2 linked regions of the Diceros bicornis minor genome follow. The protein of the gene in region 1 purifies or fractionates together with the protein of each later gene. This does not show direct contact. Links are inferred from orthologs where the notes say so. Each region holds a gene or a part of one and is shown in the gene's direction. Other genes may lie near its edges.

Evidence for each region. The genes of interacting proteins can lie anywhere in the genome.
Region 2: the proteins of MTMR9 (region 1) and ATP5IF1 purify together in Homo sapiens (affinity purification with mass spectrometry; 5 studies listed by BioGRID and IntAct, with this or other methods). This does not show direct contact. The link is inferred for Diceros bicornis minor from reciprocal best matches to the Homo sapiens genes MTMR9 and ATP5IF1.

Annotation. Positions count from the first base shown.
Region 1 is NC_080750.1:62,993,853-63,001,247, reverse strand, and holds the start of MTMR9 (myotubularin-related protein 9), read left to right. Parts: upstream 1-4,293; 5' UTR 4,294-4,379; coding exon 4,380-4,561; intron 4,562-7,395. UniProt on the Homo sapiens protein: Acts as an adapter for myotubularin-related phosphatases. Increases lipid phosphatase MTMR6 catalytic activity, specifically towards phosphatidylinositol 3,5-bisphosphate and MTMR6 binding affinity for phosphorylated phosphatidylinositols.
Region 2 is NC_080752.1:43,652,321-43,659,680, forward strand, and holds ATP5IF1 (ATPase inhibitor, mitochondrial), read left to right. Parts: upstream 1-4,818; 5' UTR 4,819-4,840; coding exon 4,841-4,927; intron 4,928-5,019; coding exon 5,020-5,111; intron 5,112-6,583; coding exon 6,584-6,731; 3' UTR 6,732-6,855; downstream 6,856-7,360. Other genes in the region: DNAJC8 (dnaJ homolog subfamily C member 8), read right to left, coding at 2,338-2,415.

The DNA of each region.
Region 1 (7,395 bases):
CAATGTAGCACGGTGGCGAAGAGCACAGAGTCTGCGCCCGACTGCTTGGGTCTGCATTCTGATTTCATCACTTATTGCTGTCTGACCATGGAAAAGTTATTAAGAGCTCTATGCCTCAGTTTCCTCATCAGTAAAAGAAGAATCATAACCAACATTAGAGAATTGTAGAAGGGCTACATGAGTCAATACATGTAAGGCATTTAGCACAACATCTGAACACAGAGTAAACACTCAAAAATATGATATATATATATGATATATGCTATATGTATCACATTTTTTTTTAAAGATTTTATTTATTTATTTTATTTCCCCCCAAAGCCCCAGTAGATAGTTTTGTGTCATAGCTGCACATCCTTCTAGTTGCTGCATGTGGGACGCGGCCTCAGCATGGCCGGAAAAGCGGTGCGTCGGTGCACGCCCGGGATCCGAACCCGGGCGGCCAGCAGCAGAGTGCAAGCACTTAACCGCTAAGCCACGGGGCCGGCCCTGTATCACATTTATATATTATATATATCACATAAAATGTGATATATATGTGTGTATACATATATACATATCATGTGGACTCCGTGGTTTTGAAGCCAATATAATGTGGAGCACATAGTTTTGAAGGGAAATCAAGGAAGGCTTCCTAGAGGCAGTGACATAGAGATGAGATCTGAAGGATGATAGGAATTAGCAGGTCAAGGGACAAGGTATTAGGAATGAGGTGAGTATATAATAGGCAGAAGGAACACCGAGATTCTTTAAAGCAGTGCTATCTCAAACTTTCATGTGCATAAAAATCATCTAGGAATCTTGTTAAAGGGCAGATTCTGATTCAGTAGCTATGGAGTGGAACATTTCTAACAAAGTTCCCAAGGAATGCTGATGATGCTGGTCCCTGCCCTACTCTTCCACTTGGTAAAAAGGTTCTGAGTGCAAAACCTCAAAAGGAAACTGTGAGCTATTTAAGAACAGTTGGCGTGAAAATCACAAGGAATGGGTTTATGTGGGCTGTTGCGCTGGGTAGGGAGGGAGGAGGAGAGATAAGATCTGCAATGCTGATCACTGCCTAAGGGGCTAAATCACAAAGGGACTTATAAGTTAAGAAAAGAAAAACAGAAACTTGGAACAGCAAATAGGGCTTTAGCTGCCAAGTGGAAAGATGGGTTGGAAGGGAACCCCACTAGAAGACAGGGAACCAACTGAGAGGCTTTTCCTGTTAAGTAACAGAACGTGAGAAACGATGGTGGCCTGAACTACGGCAGTGGCCTTGGGAATGGAGAGAAGCGGTGGAATTCAAGAGCTATTAGAAGATACAATCAACAATTTGGTGATTGATTTGCTTGGGGGATGAAGGGGATAGAGAACACAAGAAAGACATGCATGAGGTTATCAGGTTCGTTTCAAGTGCCTACAGTCCACGTATAATTACAAAGCACATGGAGAATAGCTGCTCATCAATGGCACACAGGCAGCGTCTTCTCCATTTTAGATGCTCCTTCTACTTTTGGCAATTTTTGACCTGCTTTCTTCAAACTACCTTCAAACTGCCTCAATTTCTACTAACTACTCAAGGCCTAGTAGAGAAACACAAAACTAGGCAAGTAAATCTGTACTCCAAAATTTAGCACTTACTCTCTTATTTTGTTCATTAGTTGTGTGGGTGTGTCGGCCTTCCCAAATGAGCTATTACTTTTGGAGGGCAAGGGCTGTGTCAAATCTGTTGTTTCCATTTCCCACAGTGCTGATGAACAAGTCAGCACTTAATACATGCTGGCTGACTATTTGACAGAATAACTTCTAGAAGATTACCTATCAATGCTGTTTATTATCTCACAAAAGATGATAAAAATAATAATATTTGTAAGGTGTTGAGTGCTTTATATGAATTATAAATGCCATCACCTTCTTTGGTTTATCAGAATCCTCTGAGACCTTTACATCCAGGGAATTTGGATAATGACTTTGACTAAAGCTTCATTGAATCATGTCAACGGAATGGAAGCCTATCCCATTACCTCGAACTCTACTGCCATCTACTGCTCATGTAGTAAGTTAACATATTGTGGTCCCCACTCCCTCCATTCTTGACTATTGAATCTTCGTTTTCTTGAGATCTCAATGGCTTTCTATGCTGAGCTTCAACCTAGAGTAGATGTAATTTTCTGAAAGTTTACCGTGTTCCGTTATAACAACCCAGCATGATATTGATAATTTCTCTCGTGGGCAAAAAGTTTATGTCTTTACAGAACATTAAACATTTTAAATTTAATGACACAATAGTCCTTTCATAGGCTTTTTTTTTCTTCTGGAAATCTAAAAGAAAAAAGTCATGAAATTTCTGAAGAATTTTTCCTTAGCTCTGGTAGATATCATTAAACTTGACATCTATCTTGGTTACACTCCCACTTAGGGTGTAAATCCTACTCATCCTTCAATGTCCTCCTTTCAAATGATACCTTTTCTGTAAAACTTTCCCTGATTCTTCATTCTGGAAGTAAATTCTCCCTTCCACAACTGGTAATTGTTATAATGAACCACATAGTGGAAGGACAACAAAAATTCCAATTAAAAAAATAGCTTTATAAGTTATTTCCCCTCATTCTCGCTTCTCTGTTGGTTCCTGTTTTTCTTTTGCAGACAAATAAAATAAAACGAGACTCAGGTGTAACAATCTTATAAACCGTTTTGTTTTAAGAAGAGAACATTTGGGGCCAGCATGGGGGTGTAGCTGTTAAGTCCTCCTGACCCGCTTCATCAGCCCCGGGTTCCCCCAGTTCCCATCCTGGGCACTGACCTGCACACTGCTCATCAAGCCACGCTTAGGCAGCATCCCACACAGAGCAACCAGAACCATGTACAACTATGACATACAAGTATCTACCGGGGCTTTGGGGAGAAAGAAGGGAAAACAAGGAGGAAGATTGGCAACAGATGTTGGCTCAGGGCCAATCTTCCTCAAAACAAAAAAAGAGAAGACGACCAGAACATTTTAGGAAGGGCAAGGACAAAAGCAAGGACATGTGTTGGGTGATGATGAGATTTGAGGCAATTTATTTTGTCTTTGCTGTGAGACTTTTGCCAACTCGCTGTTCTTAGGTACTAGATGGTGAGGATTTCAAAGGTTAATGAAGTGACAGCAGACTGGGACTCAAACCCTTATATATTTCCCCCCTAATTCCCTATCTTAGAATGAAAATGACAGTTTAAGGGGAGAACGGCACCAAGCAAGGAAAACTAATTTGAGTAAACTTCTGGCATAATCTAGGTGTCTGGGAGTAGTTCAGTCGGGTTGTATTTCATGGGGAGGCTGTGCGGTGGTGACCAATGCCCCAACGCCTTGGATTTCATAGATCTAGATGGAAGTCCGGCCTTTGCTACAGACTAACTGCGCTTTAGCAAGTCGCTTGAGCTTCCTCCCAGGACAGGATTAGTCACTTCCCCTTCTGTGCACTGTACGTACGTCTACCTAGGTGCCTCTCACGGGTGTCTGTTCCCCTCCGTCTGGGTCAAGGTCACAGCACCCCGGCGCGGCGCTCTCTGGGAGTCCGCGGCGCCCGCCCCGTGACCCGCCCTTACCCCTGGCGGCTTCTCTGGAGTCAGTCACCGATTCGGTCCCACCCTTGCCATCTCTTCACGGCGAATGGGTGAAAATCGCTGCAATTTACGGCAGCCCCACCCTCAAGAGAGCCCTTGGAGGGATGACTACTCGAGTGGAGGGAGGCAGGTCAGCGACCTCTTCTCGTCACCCCATCGTCCCCGGCCTTTTACGAACAGTATTTGGAGGGGGTGGAGGTGCAGCGGTGGGCGTGAAGGCCAGAAAGAACTTTTTCCTGGTAGGAACACAAATCTTCGATTCTCGCTGTTTCCGGAAGCATTCTTATGGGACCTAGGCGGGGACCGACTTCCGGCTCTGACTTCCCCGTCCTCCAGGTTTCGAGCTCCGCCGCTTCCGCCCGGAGTTGCTCTAGGCTCCGGCTGCGAGCAGCTCCTTCCGTCAGGAGTCCCTAGCGGCTCGGACTTGGAAACTGGCCCTAAAGCGGCCTCCTCCGTCTCCCCTCGGCCTGTCCGCCGGAGGCCGGGTCCCCAGGAGACGGCGGCTGCGGCTGGGCCTGTGGCGGAGCGTTCTCTCTGGCCGAGCCCCGGGCCTAGAGGGAGCGGGAGCTGCGGGGGAAACGCCCCGGCCTGGCCCAGCCCCAGCGCGGGCTTCCCGCGGCCAGTGACCGTGGCCACAGGCCTCGCCGCGCCCACTCCGGCCTGGGGCGGGGCCCGGCCTCCCCGCCCCTCCGGCCAGCCCAGCGCCGGGTCCTTCTCCGCCTCAGCCCCGCGGCGGTGTAACCGCCTAGCACGCACGCCACCCGGCAGTGCCCCGGCTCCGGCTGCTGGGGAACATGGAGTTTGCGGAGCTGATTAGGACCCCACGGGTGGACAATGTGGTGCTGCACCGGCCTTTCTATCCCGCCGTCGAGGGGACCTTGTGTCTGACTGGCCACCACCTGATCCTGTCCTCCCGGCAGGACAACACGGAGGAGCTGTGGCTCCTCCATTCAAACATCGACGCCATCGACAAGCGGTGAGTCCCGTCCCACCTTCTCTTCCGCGGGAGCCTGGGTTCCCGGGTGGACCCAGCGCCCAGCCAGCCCGCAGAACGAGCCCTCTGTGGCCTGGGTTGAGGATTTGAGTTTTAGAAAGCAGAAAACCATCCAAATGAGATACCCGGTTTCCATGAAGTCTGGATGGAATTCCCAGGGTTATCACATGTTTATTGTCCTCGCGATTCTCATTTTTGGTACATACACCATTTGTGTGGATTTTTAACGTTTTCTTTTTAAATTTCTTCTTGCACCATTACATTCCTTGAATATTAATCGTCTATCACAGTTCATGAAGTTGTGATTGAATGTGATTTAGGTAAAGTCTTTACTGGCCACTTTTGAGGAAAACTCAAAGAACTCAGATGTAGTGTCTAAATTCCACAGAACCTTCCCCCCCCTCAAAATTCTTCAGTTTATCATATTTCTCCTAATTCTTACTTTCTGGGTCATCAGTTTAGTAGTTCCCACTATGGGAGATTATAATATCTTTTATGTATTTATCTTTACTCAGTTCTGCTTTTGGAAAGAACAGAGTTGGCTCTTAAGCAAAGGTATTAATTAATTAACTTTTTTTCCATGCACCCTAGACTCTGTCTTTCTAAGGTAGTGTCTCAGAGTCAAAAAGTTATATTTCCATCTGCGGTCAAAATTCCCATTTCCCCAATAGCTCTGTGTACTTAGTCTAGCCAGGAGAAGATAAATAGATTATCCAATTTATACTAAAGTATAAATGAATGACAACAGCTTTTCTATTATCTTTCAGGAGAATTTGAATATAAAGAAGATTCCTAGAGAGGTTATGTGTTAACAGAAAAAAATTTCCAATGGTAGAATTTGAAACAGTAAGAGTGAAGTGGTGATAGATTTATTTTTCCGAGCAGAGGGCTCCTACTACAGTCTTCTTCAGGTCACCTTCTCCTTTGTAAAAGTTTTCAGTGGTCTCTCCTTGCCTGCATAATAAAGTCTTAAACCCCTTAGTCTGTCATTCATGGCAAGCCATGTTTTGGCTCTAAGCTATGTTTCCTACCTTAGTTCTTGCCATTCATTTTCATGAACCCTTTTCACTAGCCAGTCCTCACTCTTTATTTTGCTCATGCATATGCTGCATTCTCTCATGTCTGTATTTTACCGACACGCTTCCTTCTGCCTGGAATGCCTTGCTCCTCCCAAGCTTGTTAAACATTTATTGAATGTCGTTATGGTCCAGACATTTTGTGAGGCATTAAGGACACCAAGATGAATGAAATATAGTTCTTGTCTTTCAGGAGTTGATAGGCTACCATCCAACTGTTACCCATCTATCAATATTCAGTTTAACCATTTCAACTGCCAGCTCTTTCACACATTCTTCTGTTAATCCCACAACCAGAAGTAATTTCCCTCACCTTGGAATCCTGTAGCTCTTTAATTATACCTCTTTCATAGGTGTATATTAAAATTTGTATTTTGATAGTTGCATGTATGTTAGCTCCTTGAAGCAAGGACTTGCATTTGGTTAATTTTTATTTCCTTCAAAACTCCTCTGACTTGGGTGGATAGGCACATTGGAAATAAACAAAGAATTGACCACTGAATGGTCATTGGTGGCATAGAATACAAATTAGAGTTTCTCCATGCCATCAACTCTCTTGCTTATTTAACTTTTTTTGTGGTTGCTCTTCACTCTTTCATTTCATCATATTTACCTAGCATTTACTACATGGTGGGCCTGGTAGGGCTTAAAGAAGTATATAAGACATGGACCTTTTTTTTTGTGTGTGAGGAAGACCAGCCCTGAGCTAACATCTGTGCTAATCCTCCTCTTTTTGCTGAGGAAGACCAGCCCTGAGCTAACATCTATTGCCAATCCTCCTTTTTTTCCCCCAAAGCCCCAGTAGATAGTTGTATGTCATAGTTGCACACCCTTCTAGTTGCTGTATGTGGGGCGCGGCCTCAGCATGGCCGGAGAAGCCGTGCGTCGGTGCGCGCCCGGGATCCGAACACGGGCCGCCAGTAGCGGAGCGCGCGCACTTAACCGCTAAGCCACGGGACGGCCCAGACATAGACCTTTTTAATCTGCTAGAGGGGAAATGACAAACTGTGCACACGTTTATCTTTTTCCTGGGAAGCAGCATGATGTAATGGAAAGAGCATGAGCTAGGTGGTCAGATCAGAGTTTGTTTAATTGTTGCTTTCAAGAAATATTTACTTCCATGTGTCTTGTAGGTGCTGAGCACTGTCTTGGCTCTGCAGATGCAGTGGTGACTAAGACAGACTAGGAGCTTATGTATTAGTGGGGGAGATGAACATTCAAGTTAATCAACAAATAAATATATAACAATGTCAGGTAATAAGTGCCAGGAAGGAAAATAAAGGAAGATGAGAGGATAGAGAATGCCAGGAGGCAGTGTATTTACAAAGAATTTCAGAGAAGACAAGTGACATTTGAATGAATGACATCCAAATGAAGGGAGGAAGCTAGCAGTGTGAATACTGGAGGAAAGAGCATTCCAGCCAGAGGCAACTGGGAATACAAAGACCTGAGACAGGAACTTATCTGGCATGTACCAGGAAGAACCAAGACTCCAGTGGCTGGAGGCCAGTGAGCAAGGAGTAGAGGCTAGGAGGATGGCAGAAACTGGTTGGAGGGGTAAACAGGGGCCAGATCCTGTAGGACCTTACATGCTGTTGTGATGGTTTTCATGGGGAGCCCTTGGAGAGTTGAAAGCAAGGAAGTAGCAGCTGATAGACTTTTTAGAAGATGATTCTGGCCGCCGGCAGAAAATGGATTGTAGGGGGGCAAGAGTGGAAGCAGCAGGCCGGGCTAGGAGAC
Region 2 (7,360 bases), on another chromosome or scaffold:
TTTTAAGAAAGGAAAAATATAATTACACTGAAATATATACTAAAAGCAGCATTAAAAATGTATATGAGGGGCCGGCCCGGTGGCGCAAGGGGTTAAGTGCACGCACTCTGCTGCGGTGGCTGGGGATTCGCTGGTTCGGATCCCGGGTTCACACCGACACACTGCCTGGCAAGCCATGCTGTGGCGGCATCCCATATAAAGTGGAGGAAGATGGGCACGGATGTTAGCCCAGGGCTGGTCTTCCTCAGCAAAAAAAAAAAAAAAAAAGAGGAGGATTGGCAGATGTTAGCACAGGGCTGATCTCCTCACCAAAAAAAAAAAAAAAAAAATGTATATGAGAGGGAGCAAATAACTCTGCCTACCTAACTCTAATGGAGTTATTAGAAAAATCCCTGACTTGAAGACAGTGCTAAGAACAGGCACCAGGCAGTCCTGGGAAAACATCCTTGGTGCCACTGCCAGAATAAGAATGCTAACTGGAATGAATCTCTGGTGTGTTATATAACATTTTTATTTCTATGGCCAAAACAAGATTAGAAAGAATTTCAGTAACATAAAAAGACACTGTCTCTCAATATCTTCCCTCTTCACTCATTTTAAAATAGCATGCCACTCCCTCCTACTCTCTACCTTCTTTCCCAGGCTTATTTTTCCTCAAAGCACCTATCACTACCTGACACTATATTGTACATCTGTTTACCGATTATCCTTCTCCATAGAACACAAGCTCCACGAAAACAGGATTTTTCTCTCTGTCCTTCACTACCGAATCTCCAGCACCTAAGCAGTAGCCTAGTACATGTCAGGCGCTCAATAAACACTGGTTGAATGATGACTGAAGGGTCCTCCTTTAGGTTCTTTCCCCCGTCCAATTCAAACAAACCAGGATTGCTTTTTTTTTTTTTTTAACTAAGAGAGAGTAAGTGAAACAAGTTTCACTATAATTAGTAAGTAGTCATTAGAGGCCAATAAATTATGGTACCAGCGCACCAACATTTTCAAAGGAATCAGGCATTTCAAAAGGACAGGCTATAACGAATGTGCTACTTTCTGTTTTTAAAGTTAATACTTTGGAGAAACTACTATGTAACAAGCACTGTTACAAATACCAGACATAAAAGATGAATGTGACATGCTGCTTAACTCTGAGCAGTCCACAGCCTGGTGGGGAGCAACTCCACTCCTCAAATCCACGCCAACATTACGAGGTTCGTCTTCAGCCTTGCTTTAACTCTTAGAAAGATGCTCCTGTTTTATTATATTTTATGAAACCCTTCCATACACATTAATTGCTTTAACCTTCATAAAAACTCTTGTTTTGGGCCGGCCTGGTGGCTTAGCGGTTAAGCGCTCGCGCTCTGCTGCTGGCGGTCCGGGTTCCAATCCCGGGCGCACACCGACATACCACTTCTCTGGCCATGCTGAGGCCACGTCCCACGTGCAGCAACTAGAAGGATGTGCAGCTATGACATACAACTATCTACTGGGGCTTTGGGGGAAAAATAAATAAATAAAATTATAAAAAAAAAAAACTCTTGTTTTAATATTAACTCTCGTTTTACAGACGTGGAAACTGAGGAGCTGCAAAATCAATGCCTTGAAAGAGTTCGATTGCAGACAAATTAACTGCCTTGCATAAATCCAATCAGAGGTCCTCTGACTCCAAACGGCATGCTCTTCACTTATTCATGCATTCATTTACTCAACATACATTTACTGAGCGACCACTATGTACTAGGCGCTGGAGATGCGATATAAAAGAGGCTCAGACCAACCCTACTCCTGTCCTAACATGATACCAAGCTATCTGCTCTAAGACCTGGAACAAATTATTTCACCTCCCTAAACCTCAGGTTTGTCATCTGTAAAATGGAGATAATGCCTACCTGGCATGATGCACAGTGCCTGGCGTTCGCGAATGGCAGAAATAACCACTAATACAACTCATTACAGAGAACTAAGTGTAGAAAGCGCTGCTGTTTAGAATAAAATGGGGGCCAAGACGGTTAAGTCGCCCCCAGGAAGGCCCAGCCCCTGCCAGCCCCGGACTCCGCGGACTTGGGGAACTCTGCGCGCGCCCAGGCACTTCGTTGGCTACACTCGCCGTCTCCTCGCAGACGTCGGACCCCCCTCCCCCGACCTTTTCCGTTGCCCAGGGGATCCCCCAGCAGCTAGCAGGGAGAGATGTACACACGCCCCCAGCCCCCCGCCGCCCCGAAGGCCGAACAGGAGGAGCCGCCCAACGGTCCAAGCCAGGAGGACCACTGCCTTCACCCGCTGGCAGAGCAGGCCCGAGCGGGGTCGCCCGGGTGCCACTCTTCCTCACTCGGCGTTCACCTCACTGTAGAAGGTCATAAATGCTTCTTCTGTGCTGCCTCCGCCGGCCGAAGCCCCACTCTCTCCTGGAGCCGCCATTTCCCCGGCCCAGCCACCACGTGACTCTTCTGCGCAGGCGCTGCCTCACGTGATTCTTACAGGCCCTCTCTAGCCCCGCCCTCTTCTTTGCGACCCTTAAAGGGCTGGAAGCCTAAGGGGGCACTTTTAATCTACGTTCGTAAATTGTTTTTTTTAATTGAGGTGAAATACACATAACACACAATTAACCACTTTAAAGTGAACAATTTAGTGGCCTTTAGTATAGTCACAGTGTTATGCAATCACCACCTCTATCTAGATCCAAAACAATTTCATCACCTGGGAAGGATACCTGGCACCTATTAAGCAGTCCCTTCCCATTCCCCCTTCTTCCTAGCCCCTGACAACCACCAATCTGTGTTCTGTCTCTGGATTTACCTATTCTGGACATTTCATATAAATGCAGTCATACAATATATGACCTTTTGTATCTGGCTTCTTTTACTTAGCATAATCTTCAAGGTTTGTCCAAGGTATAGCATGTATCATTACTTCATTACTTTTTATGGCTGAATAATATTCCACTGTATGTATATACCACAGTTCATTTATTCATTCATCAGTTGATGGACATTTGGGTTGTTTCCATCTTTTGGCTATTATGAAATAATGTTGCTGTGAACATGCATGTACATGCATTTGTTTGAATACCAGTTTTCAATTTTGGGGGATATATACCTAGAAGGAAAATTGCTGAGTCACATGGTAATTCCATATTTAACTTTTTGAGCAACTGCCAAGATGTTTTCCACAGCAGCTGAACCATTTTACATTCCTACAAGCAACGTGTGAGGGTTGCAATTGCTCCACATCCTCACCAACACTTATTTTCCATTTTTTAAAATTGTAGCCATCCTAGTGCCTAAATGGATCTTTTGCACAAACAGAAAGACCCTCTACTTGATGCCTAGCCTAGGAGATAATTAAGAAACAGCTGTATCTGAGAACTAGAAACAGAGTTTCTGAAACAGGAATGGCACTTAAATATCATCTGGAGGGGCCAGCCTGGTGGCGCAGCAGTTAAGTTCACGTGTTCTGCTTGCACAGCCCGGGGTTCGCCAGTTCAGATCCTGGGCGTGGATCTATGCACCATTCAGCAAGCCATGCTGAGGCAGCGTCCCACATAGAAGAACTAGAAGGACCTACAACTAGGATATACAACTATGTACTGGGGCTTTGGGGAGAAAAAAGAGGAAGATTGGCAACAGATGTTAGCTCAGGGCCAATCTTCCTAAAATATATCTCTCTCTCTCTAGAAACACACCAAATCATTATCACTAGGTAGTGGGCTTGTAAGTGATGATTATTTCTATTCTTCTGCTTTTGTGTTTTTCCAAGTTTTCTGCAGTGAACATTTGAAAATGTGCCCTGCAGCCATTTCCTCCCATTTAAGTCATACAAACTAGGACTGGTATTTTTTCCAACCAAAAGATGATCAACAAAAACAGTTCTACAGTTTCATAGAAGGCAAAGAAAGTATTTTTATAATCATGAATAAGATAGATAATCTGGCCCAATCCTCTCATCTAAAAGAGAAAAAAACTGGGTCCAGAGAGAGAAAATGAGGTAGGCAAAGGCTATAAACTACTGTCTTGTTCACATTTGTTAGAGGGCTGAAGGAACATCAAGGCAAAGCCTTCCCTAGACTTCTACTTATGCTCTTTTCTACTTCATTGCACCAGATTGCCAAAATTACAGTTAACGTATTAATGCATTTCACAAATATTAATTCAGTGCCTATTTGATCAAGGCCCTGATAACTTCAGAAGGTGAAAAGTGCAAAAAGAGAGAAACAGAACAAAACAGGGAACTATGATAGAATGACTAAGGAGGTCAGGGAAGGTTTCTCTGAGAAGGTGACACTTAAGCTGAGACTTGAGAGTGAAATGTCAATGCAACGAAAGAACATTGACACCTCTTAAGAGACCATATACATACACATAAAAAATTTTTTTCCCAACAACCCGAAGTCGGGGCATCCGGGACTTATCCCCGCCACGCCCATTACCCATCTTATTGACGCTAGTAGTCCAGGAAAAGGAAGACTTCCTTTGGGTTGTTTAATAATAACAATTTTAGGATTGGAATCGTGGGGTGGCAGTGGATGCCACGCCTCACTCTGAGGAATCCAAGAGCCGAAATGCCGGCTTCTGACCTTCTCCTCCCCTTCCTCTCCAATCTCCTCCATTATTCTCCAGTCCTTTAGGCTTTGAGCCCTTGCTAGGAATTGGCTAAGAATAGGCCCGCCTCTCGCTCACGATTCGCTGAGAACTACAGGAACCCCGCCTCCTCCCTCTCATGATTCGCTACTCCTAGGTTCATCCCGCCTCTCCACCGAAACGATTGGCTGCCCGGCCATCAGCGCTGTTAGCGCCTATAGAGAGGCTGCGCCTCCAGTGACCCGAGAGCTGCGGCACTGACAGCAATGGCAGTCACGGCTCTGGCGGCGCAGATGCGGCTCGGCGTGTGGGGCGCGAGGGCCATGCAAGCCCGAGGCTTCAGCTCCGAACGGGTACGCCGGCGGCAGTGTCCGCTGCCCCAGCCCTGAGCGCGGATCCCATCTCCCCCTCCGCGCTTTACCAATGTCCCGGTCTTTCTCCGCAGTCAAAGGATCACGACGCCCCCGCGGGCTCGATCCGGGAGGGCGGAGGGGCCTTCGGAAAGAGAGAGCAGGCTGAAGAGGAACGATACTTCCGGTGAGGCCCACGGGGTCCCGAGTCCAGCCCTAGATCTCTCAGGGCCTTCCAGTCGCCCCACCCATCCCTCCCTGGTGCCCTGGGGTGCCCTATCCCCCAACAGAACTCCCGGGCCCCCGAACCCATTACGCCCAACACTTGAGGTCCTGACTGTTGCCACCTATAGGGCGCTCCCAGCCCTGCCAAATGTCCCAAGGCCCCCAAACGCCAGCCATTTCCACCTGCGGGTGTCCAGAACTCGCAAACCACGGCTCCACTCTTCCTGAATCATTTACCATCCCCACCCGTGGAATGCTCCCCAGGTCGTGCGAAACGCCCCTCAGATACTTCGCAGAGTGCCCGGATCCGACCGTCCAATACTTGCAGACCCTCTGAGCCTGACTCCCTCGGCCCTCACCCACCTTTCACCCCTCTACGCACTCTTTTCTCCTCTACACGCCTTAGTTTTGCAAGCCCCGCAGGGATGGATTCCCTGACTCTTCAGACCCTCTCACCTGTTTCTAGACCCCCACGTGTCTCCGCCAGAGTGAGTGGGTCATATGAGCTGGTTGGTGGCAGCTGCTCACGGTTGGAATCCACACATACACACACTTCCTGGAGACTTTTGCCCTGCCCCGCCCAGCCCAGCCGCTGGGCTATATAGATTTCTCTCTCTCCTTTAGAATCTGGGCCTGTCTACCCTCTTTTTCAGCCCTGAGTTATCTTTTACTGACTTCTGTTCACGGTGGGGAGCAGCACGGGACTAATCTCGCTTCTGCTTCTCCTTTGCCCTATCTGTTCACTTCTGCCCTCTCTTGCTCACTCTTAAGAATCATCACCATGGCACCTGCCATACCAGAGAGCCAAGGTACAGCCCTTAGAGACCATCTAATTGGGCCCTACATTATACAGTTAAGGAAAACTGAGGCCCAAATGTGGCCAAACCAATGTTTGAATCGTCCCCTCTTGAGACTTAAATTGGACTGCCAAGTACTGACCATGCAGAGACCCCTTCTTTTTTTTCCTTCATTTTGGCCTTTACAGTGAGCCATGCATTTCTCTAGGCAAAGAAAGCCCTAGATAAATTGGGAGAGGATGTGACTATTTGTCTTTAACTATACCCGTTTGTCGACCTCCTTCCTTTTGCTCTTTTTTTCCACAAAAAGGGATTCTCTTCTCTGGGTTGTTCCTCTAATAAGGTATTGGAAATTTGTCACACCTCTCTGGAGTTTTCTACTCTAGCTCATTAATGATGGAATTTCAGGTACTAGAACCAGGAAAATGAAATCATTTGGGTCATCTAAAGATGGATACATCTTAAGATGGTGTATTCTTTCAGTAGTGGGGCTTAAGGAGGTAGAAGAGGATGACCAGCCAGACTCGCATGGGATTGGGACTCCTGTGTCCTTTGCCTTAGGTATTATGGGTTATGCATAGAGATCTCTTTGGGGTGAAGGATTGGGATTAAACCCAGAATGACTGTGTCCTTGTAGAAAGCGGACTAAAGAACAACTGGCAGCCTTGAAGAAACACCATGAAGATGAGATCTCTCATCATGTAAAGGAGATTGAGCATCTGCAGAAAGAAATTGAGCGGCACAAGCAGAGGATCAAGACACTAAAAGATCATGATGATGATTAAGTGCACACAGTTCCCCATGGAATGGCTACATATCATTGCCCACTTCTAAACCAAACATAGTTCTGGTTTAATTAATATCTAACTGTGTGCTGCCAACAGATTATAATAAATTGTCATCAATGTACTGTGTCTAATGCCTTCTTCTACTATCTGGAGAGGGGTAAGGGGACACACTACTGGACTGCTAAAATGAATCAGAGAGGGTACCTGCAATAGGGAGCTTGTAGACAAAGCACAGTGTGATAAGTGCTATGCAGCATGGGGAAGAAGGGAGGAGACAGGTGATACAGGGAAAATCCCCTTTCCTATCTTGACACTACTCAAAGGTGTTCAGAGAAAGCTTCTTGAAGGATAAACCTCAATCCAAGGCATAAGGACAAGAGCAGCCTGGAAAACAGGAACGATGGCTTAAAAAGATACAATGCAAGGCACCATCAGTCTATTTTGCATTTATATAATGGATTACTACTTCCCATGAACTAGTTATCCTTGTTCTAATCATCCTTGGGCAGATTGAGAGAACTGGAATTAGAAGTCATATATTGCTTACGGTTACTCAGTACACTGGAGTTGAGACTTTGTGTCCAGGTTTTTCCACGCCTCATCCAAGCATTAATAACAGAATTATT